2 linked regions of the Drosophila melanogaster genome follow. The gene in region 1 interacts genetically with each later gene. Each region holds a gene or a part of one and is shown on either strand. Other genes may lie near its edges.

What was found.
Region 2: of tn (region 1) and Mlp84B, changing one suppresses a phenotype caused by changing the other (phenotypic suppression), as found in Drosophila melanogaster (one study listed by BioGRID).

The regions. Positions count from the first base shown.
Region 1 is NT_033778.4:18,983,230-18,992,254, reverse strand, and holds the start of tn (thin), read right to left. Parts: upstream 4,912-9,025; 5' UTR 4,564-4,911; intron 2,872-4,563; exon of another isoform or gene 2,567-2,871; intron 2,480-2,566; 5' UTR 2,389-2,479; intron 1,219-2,388; exon of another isoform or gene 922-1,218; intron 1-921.
Region 2 is NT_033777.3:7,109,384-7,121,071, reverse strand, and holds Mlp84B (muscle LIM protein at 84B), read left to right. Parts: upstream 1-3,339; 5' UTR 3,340-3,421; intron 3,422-4,355; exon of another isoform or gene 4,356-4,420; intron 4,421-5,233; 5' UTR 5,234-5,312; coding exon 5,313-6,800; 3' UTR 6,801-8,222; downstream 8,223-11,688. Other genes in the region: Alh (alhambra), read left to right, coding at 1-130, 190-1,610, 2,024-2,114. UniProt on the Drosophila melanogaster protein: Plays a role in cell differentiation late in myogenesis. Transcription factor Mef2 is essential for expression.

The sequences.
Region 1 (9,025 bases):
ATGCGAACAAAGTGCAATTAACTGGAAAATGCGCTTAAAATCAAATTGAATAGAAATTCTGTCGTTCTCGCAAATTGTGCGTGGTAAATAAAGGCAAAACTGGTGGTCCTATTAGAAAGTGTAGGTCCTTTTTCTGGTTTCGAGCGAAGTGCACTGTGTGTGTGTGTGTGTGTGTGTGTGGCGAAACTAATTTAGCCATTGCATTTGTGAATCGCTGCTGAAAGGATTAAAATGAATAGCGAACGCTGCTCGCCAGCATAATGAAAGCCACCAGAAGGCGGCATAACTACCAAAATCCAACCACCCCGTTTTACATTTTCATTTAAAGGGTGGGTAGGTCATTCAGCTGGGTCCGTTAATACATATATACACTTATACGCATACATATTTATGTGTATATATAGTGGTGAATGCATTCGCGGGCTGTGTGAGCGATTTTCAGAAATACCAAACCAATTATCCGTGAAAATGTTAAATGCTCTTGAAGCTGAAATCTGTGTTTTCTGGTTTCCTTTGAATTTCCCCACGGCTCTTTGCTTTCATTCAAACGCCAAATTGACGGCGACAGTTGTTCAATGTTTTGTTTACAGAAAAAAGAGCACGAGAAAATCATTAACCTTGGCGGGGGTTAAAATTAAGTCGAGTTATGCGGCAGGAAACAGTAAATGGCGAACGGGAAACGGAAACGAATCACTTGACCCTGGGAGAGTTTTTTGCCAAATGTGAAAAACTAAAATGGGTCAAACTTTTCGCGCTGCTGACAGTTGGTGACAGAAAATCATCAACGCAAAGCACTGAAAATTGAAATCAACACAACTAAATTGAAATGAATTCGATGAAATTTGGGTCAGCCAAAACTGAGCAGAAATCACCAACCAAAAAAAAAAAAAATTGAAATACATAGAAACCTCACCAACTTACCAATTGAAATGGGAAACTATTTGGCAATCCTTGCTGTTGCTGTCAAAGCGGCACTCGAAGGCAATCATAAAATGCAATTGGTTTTGGCAATGCGAGAATCCTTATAATTCAGTCCTTTTCAACTCGTTTTTGGGCACTTTCATTTAATGAGTACAATCGATTTCCGTTCGCCTTACTTTAATTTCAATATATCTAATTCGGTACGGTGTCGTTTAGATTTTTTTCTTATATTTTTTTTCAGTTTTTGCTGGGCAACACGCCTAGTAGAATTCGATTGGAAATGTAAAAAGCGACTGATGGCAAGTGAAAATTGCCAAGCACACGAGCTGAGCAACAGTCTACAATATTTTAAATATATATACAATCCGCGGCATTCTCTCCCGATTTCGCTGTGTATCTGCAGATATATACCGTCTATATATCGCCAGAGAGCGAAACAAAACAAAATGCGCGATCGTCAGACACAAACGCAAAAATATATTCTTGGCATCGTGCGTATGTATCTTTATCTACAGTTTGGCTGCAGCGCCATTAATAAGATACAAAGATACAAATGAGTACTTCGCACTGCATGTTACTTCCAAATGGAGTTCCCATTTCTCGCCTCGAACCTGGACATCGGCTACTTATTGGATTAACCGAAAAGATTTTCCTCCATTTAGTACGAATACATGCACGCACACTCTTGACGTCATCAACTGAGCTGATTTTCTCATTCGGACGCACGCCGGCATTTTCCATCTATATCTCATTGCTGGGCTATTTGTGTGCTTTTGTGTATCTCGCTGTAACGGGCCCTAAAAATAAATTTCATTGAAAATTGGAGCGAACATCGCTCGAATTCGCTGTTCCGTCAAACTAGTGGAACATTTCTCTGTGCCAAGTGAAAAGTTTCTACTTCCATTAGAAGTTTTCCCTTAACTTAAGTAGCAGTAAACCATTAGTTTGCTGCAATACGAACTAAAATTTCATATTCCATTCAAAAAGTTGTCCCTAAAAGTTACAATTAAGCTTTTTCTCAAACATGTTCAAAATATCTATCTGTATCTATTAACTACATATAATTGCATTCGGTAAGTAAGTAGGTTAAGTTCCCTACACAAACATTTGTTACTTTTACCAAAATAATTCTATCCAGTTTCGCAGTTTTTTTTTCTGTGCATGCTTCTCAAGGTCAGAACTTCGCTCCTCTAGCTCTGTATATATCATTCTATCTCCCTATGGGAATATGCCGAAAATAGAACTCACTAGCCCGGAATTCACAGACTGCAGTCTGCACTCCTAGGCCAAAAAGAAAAACAAATAAAGAAATGAAAACTGCACTGTATTTTTGGGCTATAAATAAACGGAGCAGACGGGAGAAGCAGATGCAATCGAAACTTTTTGAAATTTTAGCTGCACTCCCAAAGGAATACTATAGAAACTACAAAGTATTGTGACGTTCCAATTTCAGCGGTGATAACTTACGTTTCCAAGTGTTGTTTTCTTCTTATTGTCTACTTGGGTATCCGAGGCGCCCTTGAAAGGGGCCTGTTCCTTTGGCTGTTAACTCTGCTGGCTGAAATTAAAAAGAAAATATATTAAATTTAGAGCCAAAGGCAATTGTGAGTGAATTGTGGGGAGTGAGGGTCGAGTAGCCATTTACCTGGCCATTAACACGCTGCGCATAAGCCGCATCATGCCAACTTAATTATACGGCCTCAAAGGCTGCGGCACGCAAAACAATGATGAAGGCGGGTGGTGAAAGTTGGAATTCATTGGATGGCATGGGATTGGATGGGATTGGATAGTATTGAATGGGATTCGATTGGGCGCGGTTGACAGTCGAAGATAATGAAGTTCGGAATGCGCTTAAGGTTCGCTTATTGTGCACTGCGACAGATAAGCTCCTCGGTGGGCCACACACTCTTGACCAGGTTAATGAATAATCAGCTGGGGTCGAGCATATGGCTGCGAAGGTAGATCTTTTTAATTAACTTGCCGTGGCCGAGTTCCTTTCGACCAAAGGAAACAATTAAACAATGGAAAACCAATTTCCGAAACTATAATAACATGATTACATCGGCGGTCTTTTGAGCATCGAACGCGTAAAGGGAATTTAATAGAAATTAATTGTTCACACAATTGCATTGATATCCCTTATAATTAATTTTCTTTAATGAGCACAATTCGGAGCTTCATTGCGTTACTAAAATGATACAGTAAAATGTGGCATGAAAAATTATACATCAATTCATACATTTTATGATGATTTCGTTTTTAGTATTATTGCAGATTGGTTTTATTTGCAATCACTAAGCTTTTGAATATAGCAATATTTAAACATAATACAGATTTCAGCAACCAACAAGTTGACTTAAAACAAGTGACTTAAAAACTTCAATAGCTCGGAAACATTTGGAATATTTTTCCATATTAGATTTTGGTAATATAAATGCTATTTGTCTGTTGAAACAAAAACTTTTCAACAAAAAGGTGTACAACTTTATGTAGTTTTTAAAATACCTTTAAATGAATGGATAAAGAAAATGAGACAACACTAAGAAATCATAAGCAATACATTTACTTTAAAGTTGCCAACGCGCTACTTTCGAGCAGTTTTTAATTTAAGTTGCAAAAGTGGCCAGTAAATTCGAATCAAAACTAGTTTAGGTGGATATCTATTGCCAGCGTGCTGCAATGGCACTTCTTTAATGCTGCCAGCGACCTTGAACTTCCGCCCAGCTGAAGCACACTCGAAAAGAGCGGAGGAGGGATGGGGTTGGAGGGCAGATGAAGTGAATTGAAAAGAGGCGAGTGCTCGCAATAAAGCTAAAAGGAAAACTGGAAAAAACTGTTGCCTACTTTCCGGCGGCACATAAATTTAAACCGCACACGCCTCTCTCACTTAATCTTCCGTATTATTTTTATTTTTATATTTCGAAACGAGAAATTAATTGTTTTGTGTGAGAGGTGTGAATATAAAAATAAATACGAGAAAGCCCACCACAAACATTCCAAATGGATGGCGAGAATGGGAGAAGGAACAAGCAAAAGCAAAACCGAAACCGAAACAAAAGCAAACAAAGCAATCAATGATAAGCGAGCAGCGGGCAAAAGACAAACACAAACAACAGAAATGGAAATAGAAAATCTCTGAAAATGTCGCTGATTGAATCGAACTAAAAATAAGGCAGCAACACGGCGTATGAGCAATGTGCGTCTCTGTGTGCGTGCCTGTGTGTGTGAGTGTGGGCAAATTATTGCCATGCTTTCTGATGAGATATGCACACACACACACACACACACACACACGTAATATAGCGTATAACAGATCCTCATCAACATATATTTGTATACATGATTATGTCAAAATTTGTTAATAAATTTTGAACGCGAAGCCGAAGGAGATGAAAATAATTTTGACAGCTTTTCACGAATGTGGGAGTGTGCACACGGTGGGATGTTGAGAAAGCGCAATTTTCAGCCAGGTGACATTTTCCCAAGCTCCTTCTCTCGCCGAGATTCTCACGCCTTTCGCCGTTTTCTCTCTTCTTTTTTTTACATAATCAGCAGCCATTGAATGCGTCGAGCTCATCTCCATTTGAATGCGTTTCCAAAAACGAGCTTAAAATCAGGACGTATCCACCCCGTTCGACTCACTTGCGTTGGCTTCCTCTATTTCCTGATGCTTCGCGAAACTTTTGCAAATTTATTCGCATGCCTTGGCGGCACAAGGACTTTCACTGACTTCACTTTCAAACTGAGGTACGATGTATTACCGCCTTGGCTCAAACCAACACTCGCGTCGCGATTACTGGTGCTTTTGGACGCACCCTCACGCACTGCGCGACAGGTGAAAGATCTTTGGGTAGATCTTTGCACCCCTCTATATACACTTAATAGATATATATATATGGATATAGGTGGTTGGGAATCGAACTGGGCTATAGCTATTATCGGCGTATCGGTCCGCACGTCCACTCGCGAGCGTGCCAGAAATGAAAATGAATGTTTTTCTCTGCTCGACTCTCGAACGCTTGATGATCAGCCGTTCTTGAGGTGAAATTTTATAAATATAACCTGAGGCAACAACAAAAGTGCCACAAATATTTCTGCGTCTTCTTCCCACTTTCACGTAGCACTTTTGTTGTTTCCCAGCTTCACCCGACCCCAACGAACCTGTGCAAGAATTATATACATATATACATATAATATAATATATGTACCATAATTGTCTGTAAGAATTCCTCTCGCTTTTTACAATGTCGCGCAGAAAGTCCAAGAGCGACAATATATTGTTCAATACGTATTCTTACCTGTTATTGTTCTGGCTTATTTCGCAGTTATTAGAGTGAGATTTTCACTTTTCTTTAGTCCAGCGGAAAGAAAAGCTGAGGAAAAGATCGACGCCCACGCATTTATCTGGCAGAATGATTCATTTTCGAATTTTTTTAAATATTTATAGAAATATTGATACTTATATAGAATAAGGAAATTGATGTCTTAGCAAATATCGCGCGAGTTTTATGTAGTTATAGAATTCAGCATAATTAAAAGTGTTAACAGAAAGACAAATGATTTAGAGATAGGTAGGTTTTTTACTCTAGACATCATAATAAAATATATACGCTTAAGATTTGTCATTGAATTATTAATATTTATTTCATCTTAATTTATTAAGTTCTGTTTCTAAGCACTTGTTTACGTAATATATATTAATAATATGCCTAAGAAGATCAACATTTGTTACTATGTTGTCTTAAATCATTTAGTTCTTTAATATTACTTATTTTTCGCTTATTATTCTATAAATACCAAATTCCTCTCCGTCATCACATGCAGTATGATTGGTCTGCATTTAGCCATCCTCGCCAGACATTCGGTCTTTTGTTCGGTCATTTGCTTGTCCCACATGACATCTTGTCAATAGGCTGATGAATCGGGTTAGCCGTTAATATATTTTCGGAAAAAATAGCGAGCTAAAACAAAGCCGCAGCCGCAGTCAAAACAAAAACAAACCGAAAAAATGCGAATTATGAGCGGGCCAAAACAAAGATGTCAACACGTTCGCCAAGGCAGCTCAAGTTGTTGACGGACTCTAGGTCAGTCCCACTGACAACGCCATAGCCACAGCTATATCCTCTATTACACGCTGAGAAAAAGTTACTAAAATGGTAACCAAATGTATTTTTTGAATATATATAACATACATAATTAGGTTTCGAACAGCATCTCTTCATCAATATAATATTTTGATGTCACTAATAAAAAGTTAAAGTGTGTGCCCCTCCTATTCGATGCTGATATAACGAAAATTATTAATTAACGATGTTCCTTTGAAAGTAATTAATTTATCAAACTGCTTTCCAAGAATTAACTAAGGATTCGTATATTTTCCATGTGCATGAGAATCACCGCTGGATTTGTGCGCAGTTGCTGGTTCTCGTGAAATTGAAATTGCGTATTGCGGACATTGCATTGTGAACACTGCAACAAGGCTATCGGAACGGCGACAATTGTATAGCACGAGTTAAGACCCATTTCCATTAGCGGAGCGTCCGAAATAGTGGCATCTATTCATTCCCAGCATATTTGAGAGCAACTCATTAGGCCCGAGCCATGATTAATTAGAACTGATGGATGGCCAATTGACGAATGGAAGGCATGGCTGCGGCGATGCGAGCCAGGAGCCAGCAGCCAGGACGCATTATTGATGGACACGTATGCTGGGAATCCGGAACCTCCAGTGAAAGCCACTCGACCAGGGGACACTTGGCATTGCCAGCCAGCGCCTCGTCCTAATTGCCCAAGAAAGGGCAGCCAATTCAGTCAACGCAGGAGCAACATGGTAAAGTAGCAATAATTACGAATTAGCAGACAATTTCAAGTATTAGCCAAGTCCAACTTACTAAGAGGGTGGTCGCAAAAGTTGCTAGTTGATTGGTATTTTACAGCAAAGTTTAATTGAAATCGGCCAGGGATTATGGCCCTGAAAATAAGCTTAGTTCAAGGGCTTTTGAAGTAAGCTAATCCATTTTGTTTTACAAAGAAAATAGCTACCAAGCTTATCTCTTTTCCTTGCAATAAGCTGTATTAAATTGATAAATTTAAAGGAGAGTCAAAAAAATATACCCAATATTGAAATTGATTCTTAAGCTTGAATTCCTGGGGGATTAAAATTTCAATTGAATTATGGAGAGTTAATTTGTGGAAAATCCATTTTCTAGGAATTTAAGCTTTTTTGCCAATGGATTCGCTTTCAGAGAAATCCCTTGTATATGTTTAAACTCGTTATGAACTGCTTAATTTTTCTTTAATTGATGCATATTTTCTATAAACTAAAGCATATTGACATTAAAGCTTTCCGCGAAATAATAATTGATTCAAATTGTTAAGCTTGAATTAGTGTGAAATTTACATTCTGTAAATTTATGCTACATTTTTCCAACCGTTTTCCGCTCAGAAAAATTCCTGTATAATGTTAAACACACATATTTAAACGCTTAAGCTTTAAGGGTACAATTTAATTTAACTATTAAAAATATTCTAGGCATTAAGCTTTTCAAGAATATTTAAAGCCATTTCATTATTTATTTTGCTTCCAACACGTTACTAAAAGATAAAAATTACTAAGTGGTTCCGGATTAAGAAACTGGCTAAGCACACCTCCACAAAGATATGTCCAACAGCAGGGGGCCCCCGAAAACAAACTATTTCCAGTCAGACAAATGGCGTTAAGCACATAATAACCAATTTCTCTAAATACGGCCATAATTATGAACGCCTACACACACTCTTACATCCAAAGAGTCCTGGCAAACACAAACTCACACACTCACACGCGAATGATCCTTGTGAAGTGGCGCTGCTGTTGTTCTTCTTGTTTCTGCCTACTTCATTTGGGCGCGCTTGTTCTCGAGACTCGAGAGTGAAAGTGAGAGCGGGAAAGGGAAAGCGAAAGTGAATGTGAAAGGCATAGGATGGGGTGAAAGTTGGTAAGTGAGAACGGGCAAGGGCAAGGATTTATCGTAATTAGGCATGCATGAGCATATGCTGTCGTCTAAGCTCAAGGATGACTCTCATCCTCCGCGATATTTTGTCGTGCAGTGCAAGAAATTTAATACCAATCGATCTTATATTTCCACAGTTTTAATAACTTATGATTTGAAAAATCTAAGGGACAAAAAAATGTTGTTTTTTTTTATTTTAAAATAGCTGTAGTACTTTTTTTTTTTAGTTTTATGATTTCCTTCATAAATAAGTGTACATGGTTGGCAAAATATTTCCCCCATTCAATGTCACCAATAAATTTTAGATAACTGAATCAATTGTATGCAGTTATTTATGAGTAACAATTATCGCAATTAAACCTTCATACTTAAATTTAATATATGTTTTGTTGCTATAAAGGCTGACTCAATTACAATATAATATGGCCAATTATTTTCCCTCTGTGTGCACAAACACAGACTTGGGCAAACAGCAAGGAAAGGGGCGAGAAAATGGTGGGAGTGATGGTGGGAAAAAGGGAAAAAGCGGCCCCAATGTACATAATTAATTGTGCTGCTGTGTTGGCAAACACGCGGGCGCCGGAAAGTAGGCAACACGCTTTTTTTGGCAAAACGGTTCGCCGTAATTGATTGCCTCATGCACGTCACACAACCACACACACACTAACGCATATACACACATATTGAGAAGCCAAAGCGGTGTGTCAATGTGTGTGAGGGTGTGCAATTTCCGGCGGAGCTACAAGTATTTTGAAATGAATATTTCTTTAATTAGTCCGCTGCTGGCACTGCCATTTGCTGCGGCTTCAAAGGGGTTTGGATATTCTAAAAGGCCAAGCCACAAAAGACTTGACCGCAAATAATAATGCACAAATGCTGCCGCACCGCAAGTGTTTCCAGGCAACACACGCACACACACACACAGACACACATCCACTCGCAGATGGCCGGGTCGGAATATTTTCTTAAATTAACATTAGCAACATTCGGAGCTGCCATTAAGACGGTCGCTCAGCAGCCATTTCAAGTCTCTCGCAAGCTGAACCCGAAAGGTCATTCCGCAAGTACGGTCCAACTTCAATAAGTTGAACATTGCATAGTCTTGGATTTCC
Region 2 (11,688 bases), on another chromosome or scaffold:
CAAATCGAATTGCAAGCAGCAGTTCCACGTCACCTGCGCCCAGAGCCTTGGATTGCTCTGCGAGGAGGCTGGTAACTATCTGGATAATGTGAAGTACTGCGGCTACTGTCAGCACCATTACAGCAAACTGGTGCGTATGTGAGGGATAGCATTCGTGATTTTTCCGTTCAAATTCTTGATACTTTGCAGAAAAAGGGCGGCAACGTCAAAACAATACCTCCATATAAACCCATTCAACATGACACCTCTTCCGATTCGTGTTCGTCGCCCGAGAAGGAGATCGATTCAACCATGAACTCCGCGACAACTTCGGCCACAATCATAAAGATTACCAGCAGCAGTGGCAGTGCTGGTGGCAGCAGCAATGTTTTGAATGCAAGCTCCAGTGCTGGAATCTCTGCTGGAAGCAGCAGTGGGAGTGGCGTATCATCTTCCGCAAAGCAGCGCAAGAGCAATGCATCAAGTAAATCATCTAGCAGCAGTAGCAGTAGCTCGTCATCCTCAACAGGAGGGGCTCCCAACCCCTCCTCGAGTTCTGTGCATTCGGGAAGTGCTAGCAATATGACAGGAGGAGGAAGTGTACTACCAGGGAGTAGCAACATCGGCAACATTAGCAATAGTTTAAACAATAATCTGCCCGGAGGCAGTTCGTCCACCAGCAGTGCTGGAAACGTGCCTGGTGGAAGTGGGGGAATTATATCAGCTTCGAGCGGTGGTGCTACGCAATCGACAAGCAGTCAATCGTCAACAGCACCAGGAACCACCAAATCATCGGCCAGCAGTTCGAGCAGTAGTAGCAACAGCTACAAGGAGAAACATAGCAAAAGCTTAAGCAAATCCACATCCAGCAAGGACAAGGATGGAAAAGATAGCTCTACCAATTCAGCGAATAACAATTTCACAAATTCATCTGCATCATCAACATCTTCCAACTCCTCGTCGACACGAGAGAAATCCTCATCAAAGCTTTCTAAGAACAAAGACTCCAATCAAGTACCCAGTGCCACCAGCAGCTTAAGCACAACGAGCAGTATCAACACCCAGCCCAGTTCGTCGACTTCAACTGCTACAGCTGGATCGGGCGGTACTGGGACTCATGTGAGCAGTTCGGCTGCCAGTGGACTTAACTCAGCTCCTTCCACAACCAATGAGCATTCAAATCATGCCCACACCCTTAGCACAAATGGAACCGGAGCCGGAAGCGCAGCCGGAAAGTTGCAATCAGTCAGTAATCTGAGCAACAGTAGTTCTGGTTTTGGATCGGATCTGCGATCAGTCAGCACATCCTCAAGCTCCACTGTGAACGACTCCACCGGAGGATTCGGTAGTAATTCGAATTCAGAAAGGGAGAATTTGTCAGGCGCTGGATCGTCGGCAAGCAACATGCCTGGAACAATAGCTCCTGGTACTGGTGGCGTATCTTCCAGTGCGGCCACTAATCTAAGCACCAATAAGGGAGGCTCTTCGTCATCGACGGCGAATAGCCTTACATCTACGAGCACTTCCTCAGGCAGCTCCTCTAACTCGTCATCGAAAAAACGAAAAGCGGATTCTGCTAAGTCCACTAGCAGTATTTCCACCTCTGGCTCCGCTCTGGAGGATAACAATAGGTGGGGAACGAGAAACGCAAAGAAAAGGTCTTTTACAATTTACATTTTTCAAAATTTGGTAGTTACTTAGTTTACGCCTGATTTTAAAGAAACAAATGGGACTGTGTTGCACATCTATGATTTGCAAAATTGTTAATTTATCGAACACCCGGTGTAGACAACTCTTTTATTTTGTTATTCTAAATAAATTGTAATAATTAGAACATAATGTATATTAAACAGTGCCCAATGTTACTGAGAAACCAGACTTTTTAAATATGTTTTTGTAATTTCATTGAAAAAGGCAACTTTTGGAATCCGTTTCGTTTATTAGAGAATATACTAATACTAAAATAACCCCGTATAAGACCTTTTTCTACTGAAACAATGTATAGAAAAAATCACACTAATATATTTTTCGGTTGTTTCTGTAGCTTAATATCCCGCTATGATATCAAAGATGTTCAAGTTGCACTGACGCCTCTAACAGATTTTGAGAAGGAAATCGAGAAGAGCTCCAAGAGGGTAAGTTGATTTTTTCTTTGTTTATCTTTTAGCATACTATTAATAGAATGATAAACAACTCAGTTATCGTTCCGAAATATTGAGTTAATATAAGCTTTTTTACTTTTAAGGAAACTTGTTTCGGATCTCTTGAGTGATTTTTGCGAAACATTCTCTTAAAGTGTTTTCTCTCTTTTTGGATACAATGTTGCTATATTAATGATGGTTCCCATTATCTTTTACACTTGTATACAACTTGTCATTTAGTTTTTCTCTGATCAAACCTAAAGAGTGGGACAGAGAGTACTACTATATTCGTTTCACTCGCCAAAAGTTTTGAACGCAGGCGCCTTGCCAATTTTTGTATCATACTTATAAGTGGAAATGCAATTGCAAATGCATGTTAAAAATGTTTTGAGAAATTCTGCCGAAGGTGCGCGTTAATTATACAAAAGGTGTTGCCCACCCGTTCTTGTCTTTAAGAAATTCCGTGTTTTTCAATGCTACCCCTTGAACTTCGGAATTTTCGATCGATCCATTTTTTAAAATGGTGTGTGTTTCGATCGAAATACTGTAATAAATCAAATATTAAATTAGTTTGTTATAAATTTGAGAAACTTACTACTACTACTTTGATTTCAAAACTAAAATAATCGGTAAAATCATACCATTAGAACTAATATCAAAATGAAATCATTCTTAGTAATGATATTAAGAGGTATTTTCTGGCCGAGTTGGCCCCCGCCATGTCTGGTTCTATTTTGCCGATCTGATTGATGCTCAATGATGTACCCATGCCCCATTAATTTCCTTTTGAACCAAAAATGCATGGCAAAATATCGAATTTTAATTAAATGCAAATGCGCATGTTAATTTATTGATGTTGAAGTGCCAATGTTCCGAAAGGCAGGCAGGCAGTGGCTTTGAACAAGACAGTTGAACCATGTTGTTGGTCCAATAAAATACCAACATCATCTTTTTCGCCTTGTCATGAGCACGATCACCTGGAATATTCTGCTATAAAATGACCGTATATACAATTTATGAAAGCACATTTTTCTTGTATACTAGCATATTGTATATGTGAGAGCAGATATTTTGTGATTTGTTGGGATTCTTGTTCGGATGGCTAATGTATTTATTGTTGGGGCTATATAGTCATCCCTATCATTTTCTCTGGCGACAAAGTTGCCTTCGTGCCGTGTGCAGACAAAGACTGAAAGCGCTTGACAAATTTTTCAGCGCGATCAGTCGAAAATCGTTGTTAATCGAAGCTAAACTAAAATTAAGGATATTTCTCTTGCGAACCTTTTTATTACGAACGAAAAGTAAATATCAGTTTTTGTCAATGGAAAACGAAAACCAAAACCAAAACCAATCACGCATAACCCAGTAAATTCCAATATTTTGTGTTGTGCTTGTCTAAAAAATATCGGTTCAAGCTCTGCTACAAACCAAACGCGAAGCGATGAAAATACAGTTTTGTCAAGCGATCGTTTAAATTTAGAACTTGTGCGTAATTTGGACCATAATTTGACCCACAAATGAGAGGAGGAATGTATGGCTCCACACAGGAAGCATTTTTCCCACACACTATTATTAATAGATTCCGTTTTTTCGAGTGTGAAAAAACTTTACGGAAACTGTCTCACTCAATAAAATGAGAACTATTTGCGAGGAGTTTTTTTTTCAATCGAGTTTTATTCAAGTACAAATCGATCATCTTTTCATCAGATCAAATCGAATAGTCACTATCCTTGAATAGAGAAAAATTAAAGATACAGTCCTTACTCGACGTAAAAAACACGTACATTTTGATGAGTTTTATAATCTTATTGCATGCAAAAAGTATTATATTTAGTCGGGAATATAAACAAACTCCCAGATGCCTGAGGTTTCCAATGATATGCAACTTTTCGATCATCTTTGATAATCTCCCACTGGGATAAATGTGCATATAATATACACAAAAGTTAGCAAACATCCAAGAATGAGATACGGTCAAGAAAAAACGAGTGAAGGATATGGAATAAAAAACTTTTTCGAAGAATCGAAAAAGTTTAAAAACCGCAGATGCATACCAATATGTTTCCATCCCACTCTCTGGCGTTATTTGATGAAAACTGAAATAAAACGAAGGAAAACTGCTCCGTGTTGCCGCATCTTAAGTTTCTCAACTCGGTGTGCTGAGCAGGAAAACTCAGTGGCAGCGGCGAAAAGTCGACCGCGTTGCCGTGCCGTGTGCACTCACAATTATATAGACTAGTTTGCTTTGAGCAATCTTCCAGTTCAGTACTCGGCGCTTCCGTGTGTGGTTTTAGTGCGTTGTAGGTTCCGTTCTATCTTGGCTATAATACACTCACACCCAACGGTTGGATATCGCCAGCTCTTAACCGATTTTTTTGCACGCAGCAAAAGACCATTGCAAAGCACCTGACTAATCCATCGCAACCGCTAGATAACCAGATTACCGGCCAGGGACGATGCTCATCTGATGGTGGTGCTTTAGCTCTGACTCAGTTTTAGAACACCCAGATATGTACATATATATATCTGCCACAGTTATTTTTTGTGTGTGCTTTTCCCAAATCTATCTACCTGTCTGCGTTATTTTTATACAACATTTTCTGTATAGATAGATACACATTTATTGCTCATGTTTTTCTCTGTGTTCTGTGATTTGAAAAATTCCTCCTTTATTTTTTGTTGTCATGAGAAAGATGTTATTTTCTGATCATTAACATAGGAATCTTCAATATGAATTACGTATACATACGTCCGGTTGGGTAATTTTCTGGCACGGGCGATGACGTCTCGACTGACAGATAAGAATCTTGATAGATGATCTACATAATGCAAATTGAGGAGAAATTCGCGACTGTCAAGTTGAATTTGTAATAGTTCATTGTAAACTTAAGATAAAACAAGCGTCTTAATCGTCCAAATAGGTTAACATGTAGATTAGCTTGAATTAACTAGTTGGGCTTAGAATAATTTGGAAACCATTTAACATACAAAAATGACAGATGCTTACCTCATCGCTTTCATCGCCACCAAAGCTTCCACTCTGCTGCATTTCCCAGCAGGACTTACGCCACGATCCCATCGACTCTATGTGTTCTTCTATTTTGCTATTTCAGATAATAAACTTAATAAGTAAAGTAATTGTACTCGCGTAGATCATTTTGATAGCGTTAAAAAAACCGAAACACAGACAGAATGCCTTCCTTCCAACCGATCGAGGCCCCCAAGTGTCCGCGCTGCGGCAAGAGTGTCTACGCTGCCGAAGAGCGTCTGGCTGGCGGCTATGTATTCCACAAGAACTGCTTCAAGTGCGGAATGTGCAACAAATCCCTGGACTCCACCAACTGCACAGAGCACGAGCGCGAGCTCTACTGCAAGACGTGCCACGGTCGCAAGTTCGGGCCGAAAGGTTACGGCTTCGGCACTGGAGCTGGCACCCTCTCCATGGACAACGGGTCACAGTTCCTGCGCGAGAACGGCGATGTGCCGTCCGTAAGGAATGGAGCCCGCCTGGAACCCAGGGCTATTGCTCGTGCCCCCGAAGGTGAGGGCTGTCCTCGTTGCGGTGGCTATGTGTACGCCGCCGAACAGATGTTAGCCCGCGGTCGCAGCTGGCACAAGGAGTGCTTCAAGTGCGGTACCTGCAAGAAGGGTCTGGACTCGATCCTGTGCTGCGAGGCTCCGGACAAGAACATCTACTGCAAGGGCTGCTATGCCAAGAAGTTTGGACCCAAGGGCTATGGTTATGGCCAGGGCGGTGGTGCTCTCCAGTCCGACTGCTATGCTCACGACGACGGAGCACCGCAAATCCGTGCCGCCATTGATGTGGACAAGATCCAGGCCCGTCCGGGTGAGGGTTGCCCACGTTGCGGCGGTGTGGTCTACGCAGCGGAGCAGAAGCTTTCCAAGGGTCGGGAGTGGCACAAGAAGTGCTTCAACTGCAAGGATTGCCACAAGACTCTGGACTCGATCAATGCCAGTGATGGTCCCGATCGTGATGTGTACTGCCGCACCTGCTACGGCAAGAAGTGGGGACCACATGGCTATGGATTCGCATGCGGCTCTGGTTTCCTGCAGACCGATGGCTTGACCGAGGATCAGATCAGCGCCAACAGGCCCTTCTATAACCCGGACACCACGTCAATTAAGGCCCGTGACGGCGAAGGCTGTCCCCGGTGCGGAGGAGCCGTATTCGCCGCCGAGCAACAGCTGTCCAAGGGCAAGGTGTGGCACAAGAAGTGCTACAACTGCGCCGACTGCCACCGGCCATTGGACTCGGTCCTGGCCTGCGATGGACCCGATGGCGACATCCACTGCCGCGCCTGCTACGGCAAGCTCTTCGGCCCCAAGGGCTTTGGTTACGGCCACGCCCCCACTCTAGTGTCAACCAGTGGCGAGAGCACCATCCAGTTCCCAGATGGCCGTCCTCTGGCCGGACCCAAGACTTCGGGCGGCTGCCCGCGTTGCGGTTTCGCCGTGTTCGCCGCCGAGCAGATGATCAGCAAGACCAGGATCTGGCACAAGAGGTGCTTCTACTGCTCGGATTGCCGCAAATCGCTGGACTCGACCAACCTGAACGATGGACCCGACGGCGATATCTACTGCCGAGCCTGCTACGGCCGCAATTTTGGACCCAAGGGAGTGGGCTACGGTCTGGGCGCGGGCGCTTTGACAACGTTCTAAACGAGCCTATTTTATGTATATCCAATCGAAACCCACATCCATGTCTGTGAACCGTTCCGATGCATCTGTCTAATGACCAATCTGTTTTAACTAACTATCCCTGAAATTAGCTAACTTAGTCTTCGTTTTGCTTCCAACGATTTTTGATCAACGATGCACTGAATGCAATTCAATTTTCTTTAGGTTATGTGAGATTAAGTTTAATATGAAAACAAGAAAAAAAGAATAAATGCCAAAAACATAAAACTTACGACTCAAAGCGAAACTAACCATCGAACACAGACTAACGAACTAAACGACATTGACCACATCGAGAAAAGCAAAACTTTCTGCAGGTGAAACTGCTGCGAGCCAAAGTCGTTATTACTTTTTTGTATCTTAAACTATTTATTTTCGAAGACCAGCCAAGTATGTCTTATGCTCCAAATCGAATTACCCAAAAGCATACTTTGTGCAAATGGAAAAATTTTATACACATAAATATACTCTTACGACGAACAATGATGAAAGATATGATGTTGTATATTTAGCTGATTTAGTTCTTACGATATACTTATGAAATCTGATTATTTATAATGATGTTTGAATGATTTCTCACCCATCTAATCTCTTGCATTCTGTTTGGGATGCCAGCCATGGCAGATATAAAATATTTATTTATATATATATACATCAGCGTACATGTTCTGCATACACACACACACACACATAACATCCAATAATATATGCCCCAGTGGGTTCCATGAAAACAAAATGATTTCGAAATGGTTTTCGTAGTTTTAATTGATTTAATTGGGTGTGCATACCTGAGATTTCTGCATCTAAATGGTTGGTTGGCAATCTGATTGGAATGACCGGTGGGTGGTTGGGTTGAGTTCAATTCCGTTTGTTTCGGGATCGTTCGGTTCGGATTGAGCCAGCTCATCTGGTCTATATATAGCTTGTTCGGCCGACAAACATCGTGAAAAATAATTGCTCAACATACGCACAAAGAACGTTCCCTACATATACGTACAGGAATAAATCCTTGGTTGTGTGTGTGTGTGGCCTCTCGAGAAAAACATCGAAATGTTCCATAACCGTACTGAAATGGTTTTCTAAATATAAATATGATGCCAATATGCCTCACACAGCTGACCCGAAAGCTTTTCACAGCACTCAAAACTCTCACTCAAGAGAAGAACTTAAGAGATTGTATTTATTCGCATATATACTTGTGAGGAATCCCTAGTTATATTATAATAATTATAACACGTGCCTGCTGAGAATGTTGTGTAATAAATGCTTTACTCACCCACCCACCTAGAGCAAAGTTCTTATTGCTAATGCACTTTTAGGATCACCCCCCACCCGAAATAACCCCTTGGGAACAAAATTTTAATGATTCCGTCCCACGCCCACTTGCGCGCATTATTCACATTTCTATTCATTTTATTCGACATCCTATAGGTATGGTATGGTTTTATGCTCCGTGACGTTGACCACGAAAATACGTTGCCAAGGGGTTGGCCAAACTAAATAAATTATTTTTTGTTTTAATATAATTTTTTTTTGTTTCAGACACAAATATCAAATAAATCGCCTTCAGCCAGGTGTGTTTACGTTAGTTTTGGTATCGCATTGGCGAGAATATTTATAGACTTACCGAGTCAGCGTCTATTTTCGAGTGATTTTGGTTTTGAAATTGTTTCGCATATGACACACGGCACTTCAAAAACACCCGAATTGACGAGCCACAACAGTGAGAATATTTTTTGCGGACTGCGCCGCTGATGTTGATCTCTAAATATACTTGGAGATGTATTCTACTCGTATTCGATATGGCTTTTCTAGTATGTTATTAATGTTCAATTTCTGGCTTTGAATGGCGCGAATAGATTTATGCCTTGCTGAAGTCCGCGACTATTTGTATAACGGATCGAACATGATAATGGCTAAGATAGAGAACATGTGGTTGTGCTGATTTTTTTTCGATTTGCGGAAGACGAGTGCAAGGTTTTCCAGTGGGGATTTGTGTTTACCCACCGACCGCTTTGAGATGTTACAGAAAAGGCGATTGATTGATTAGATCAGGAAATGACACATTCGAAATGACACAATGTGCAATCAAATGTGCATGATATCAATTGCCTTACGTGACTAGCGTGCATTTAATGGCCAACTTATTGATTTCACATTACAAAGTAAAATGTCCCAGTGTGTTGGTTGGTTTTGGCGGGGGTTAAAATGGAACCGCATCGAATCGGAACCGTTTGGCCACAGACTGACAGTTTTCAGCGGCTCACTGCTGCGCTCATTTTGGCCACCAATTGTGAGGACCAAATTGCAAACTACCGCCGGGAACTGTGGGGGGTGTGGCCTGAGAACCAAAAAATCAGGAAGCGGAAGGACCTCAAGCGGGTGGCTCGGGTGCCATGTCCTTCGATAGCGATAGTAGTGGTGCACAGTTTAAAAATCCACCCGCAAACGGGCAGGGTGATAATTCATAATTTGTGTTCCTCTTGACTGTGTCGATTATGAGCGGTTGTCAAATGTCAGGGGAAAATAACTGAGAATTACATGTGCTGACTGACTATTGGGTGTACTTGCAACAAAACTACTTTTTATGACACCCTCACTCGGCTGAGGGTTTGTTTTTTTTATGATCTTGTCTCCGAAAGTCAGTCGCTCGGCGTGAATTTCACTTGGCCAGTTCCTCTTAAATGACCATGAAACTCGCTTCGACAAATACCTTTTGGCGTGGCAATTAATTTATTTCACTTCCCTGAAATGTCAGGTCACCCGAGCAACAACAACACCATGTTTGGGTGTGGGTGGGTCGTTGAGTTTTTATCGAATCTCCGGGTCGCGTGTTGCCTGAATTTGACAAATTCCCGTTAGCGACACGCGTCGCTATATTATTCCTGTTTTTGGACCTTTTGTGAATGCCTTTAGTTGTGTCTTGTGGTACAGTTACCGTGCTGTTGTTGCTAATAAAAAAAATGGATATGTGGGTAGTTTGGTCCTTGACCAAACCTTACCTCAAAGACTTGGCTTGTCTAAATTTTAATATAATAGTTGGGATAGCAAATTTAGCATCTTTGTCATAAATAATGCCAACCTATTGTTATATTTTCACTGGGATGTGAATAAATATCAACCTGATTCATATTTTGTGCATGTTTTCAACCCCAAAATAAAACTCCCACGACCTGGTAGCACTGGCTGAACTAAACCTCTGAACTGACACTTGTGTAAATATTTCAGAGTGACATTTTTGTTTTAATATGATTTTTGGCAGGCCTGAGCTGCTTACCCTCCTTTCGTTTGATGATCAATAGTGCGTCCTTAATGGGTTTGTTCAGTGGCGTGTGCAAAGTTAAAAACGTTGCCTGCAGAAATATTTGCACAATTCATTTGATTCCTTGAGTGCTGCACTCACTGCTGTTTGTTGGGAAACCCTCTTTTTTAGATTTGTTTGTCGGGCTGAACGATCCGCCACTGTCGAGACTTAAAAGCATCACCTTTCTGGCCCAGGGATTGCACTAATTAATGCATGTTTAGGTGTTTTATGGCAGAGTTCCTATTAATTATGAACCAACCATTTCGTGTCCCTATGACAATGAAAATTTTACAACAGGTAACTTACAAAAAGCAATGAAACTTGCTTTTTTATTAAATAATAATCTGATATTCTTGGCGGCACTTAAAGTTGTTGTATCACAATGTACACGTTCATTGTTGGTGATGTTCGTGATACGGAGTTTTGACTGCAGTAAAATTAATTTTCCAAGCGGCAAAGAAGCGGCATTGTTCCTTTGCCACATTTCTGGTGATTCGATTACGGTCGCAATGTTGCAACGGCAACATTTGTGCCCCAACACCGCCCAACCCAAGAACCCAAAGACTCCCCCTTGGCTTTTGTTGGGTTTGTTTGTTTTGTAAAACAGGCACGTTCACCTGTCTTCCTCCCATGCCCCTCCACCGTTGTTGCGTCGCCAGGTAAATGCCACTTAACGTTCATTTTTGCCTTTCTGCACCATGATTTTTTGGGCTTTTATTTGCATCGCAAATTATGCTCGCTTTTCTTCTTCTGCTTACCACTCCAGCTGCAAACAATCTGCTGCTTCTTCTTCTTGCACTTCTTTTATTTATTGCCAATTGCAAATGTCTGCGGTGGCGGTTCTTTCTCTCCCTCTCCTCTCGTTCTCCTCTCCTGCCATACAATTCAATTATTTTTCATTTTCCTGTTTTGTCTTCTTAAATCGCTGTCTGGTAACTACAACAACAAATACGGCTACAACAACAGCAGTGAGAGTAGAATTAACCTGCATGCAGCAATTGCCACCCACCCCCACCCTCATCGGGCTATCTCGCTCGCTCGCTGATGGGCATTGCATAAAACACACACAACGAAATATCTACATCTGCGTTTGTTTTTATGTTGCAACGGTCTCTCGCTTTGCTCTCCGTATCTCTCACTCTCTTTCTCTCCGAAGTTGCTCTCCGAAACTGTTCTTAGGCTGGATGGGAACAGTTTTGTGTTGTATTAAAGTTTATAGTTATAGAAATAAATATACAAAATCTTCATGAATTTGTGGGTTATTAATACTTTTATTATATTTAAACAATATTTACGTGTATAATATGCAAAAAAAAGTGTTAGTGCCTTAAGTATAATTGAAGCTCATCTGTTGACCGGTCTAAAAACGATGTTACAAGCAATAAACTCCTTAACCCATAAACAACAAAGCACCATTATTATATGCATATGTACATATGTAGTTGTTCTTCTATAGCCAGATATTTATCCCTTTCTAATGGGTGTCATAAAATAAAATAACAATTACTACAGCGACTAACAGGTACTTCTTGGCCAAGGAATTTCAGCTATAATTTGCAGTCCCCC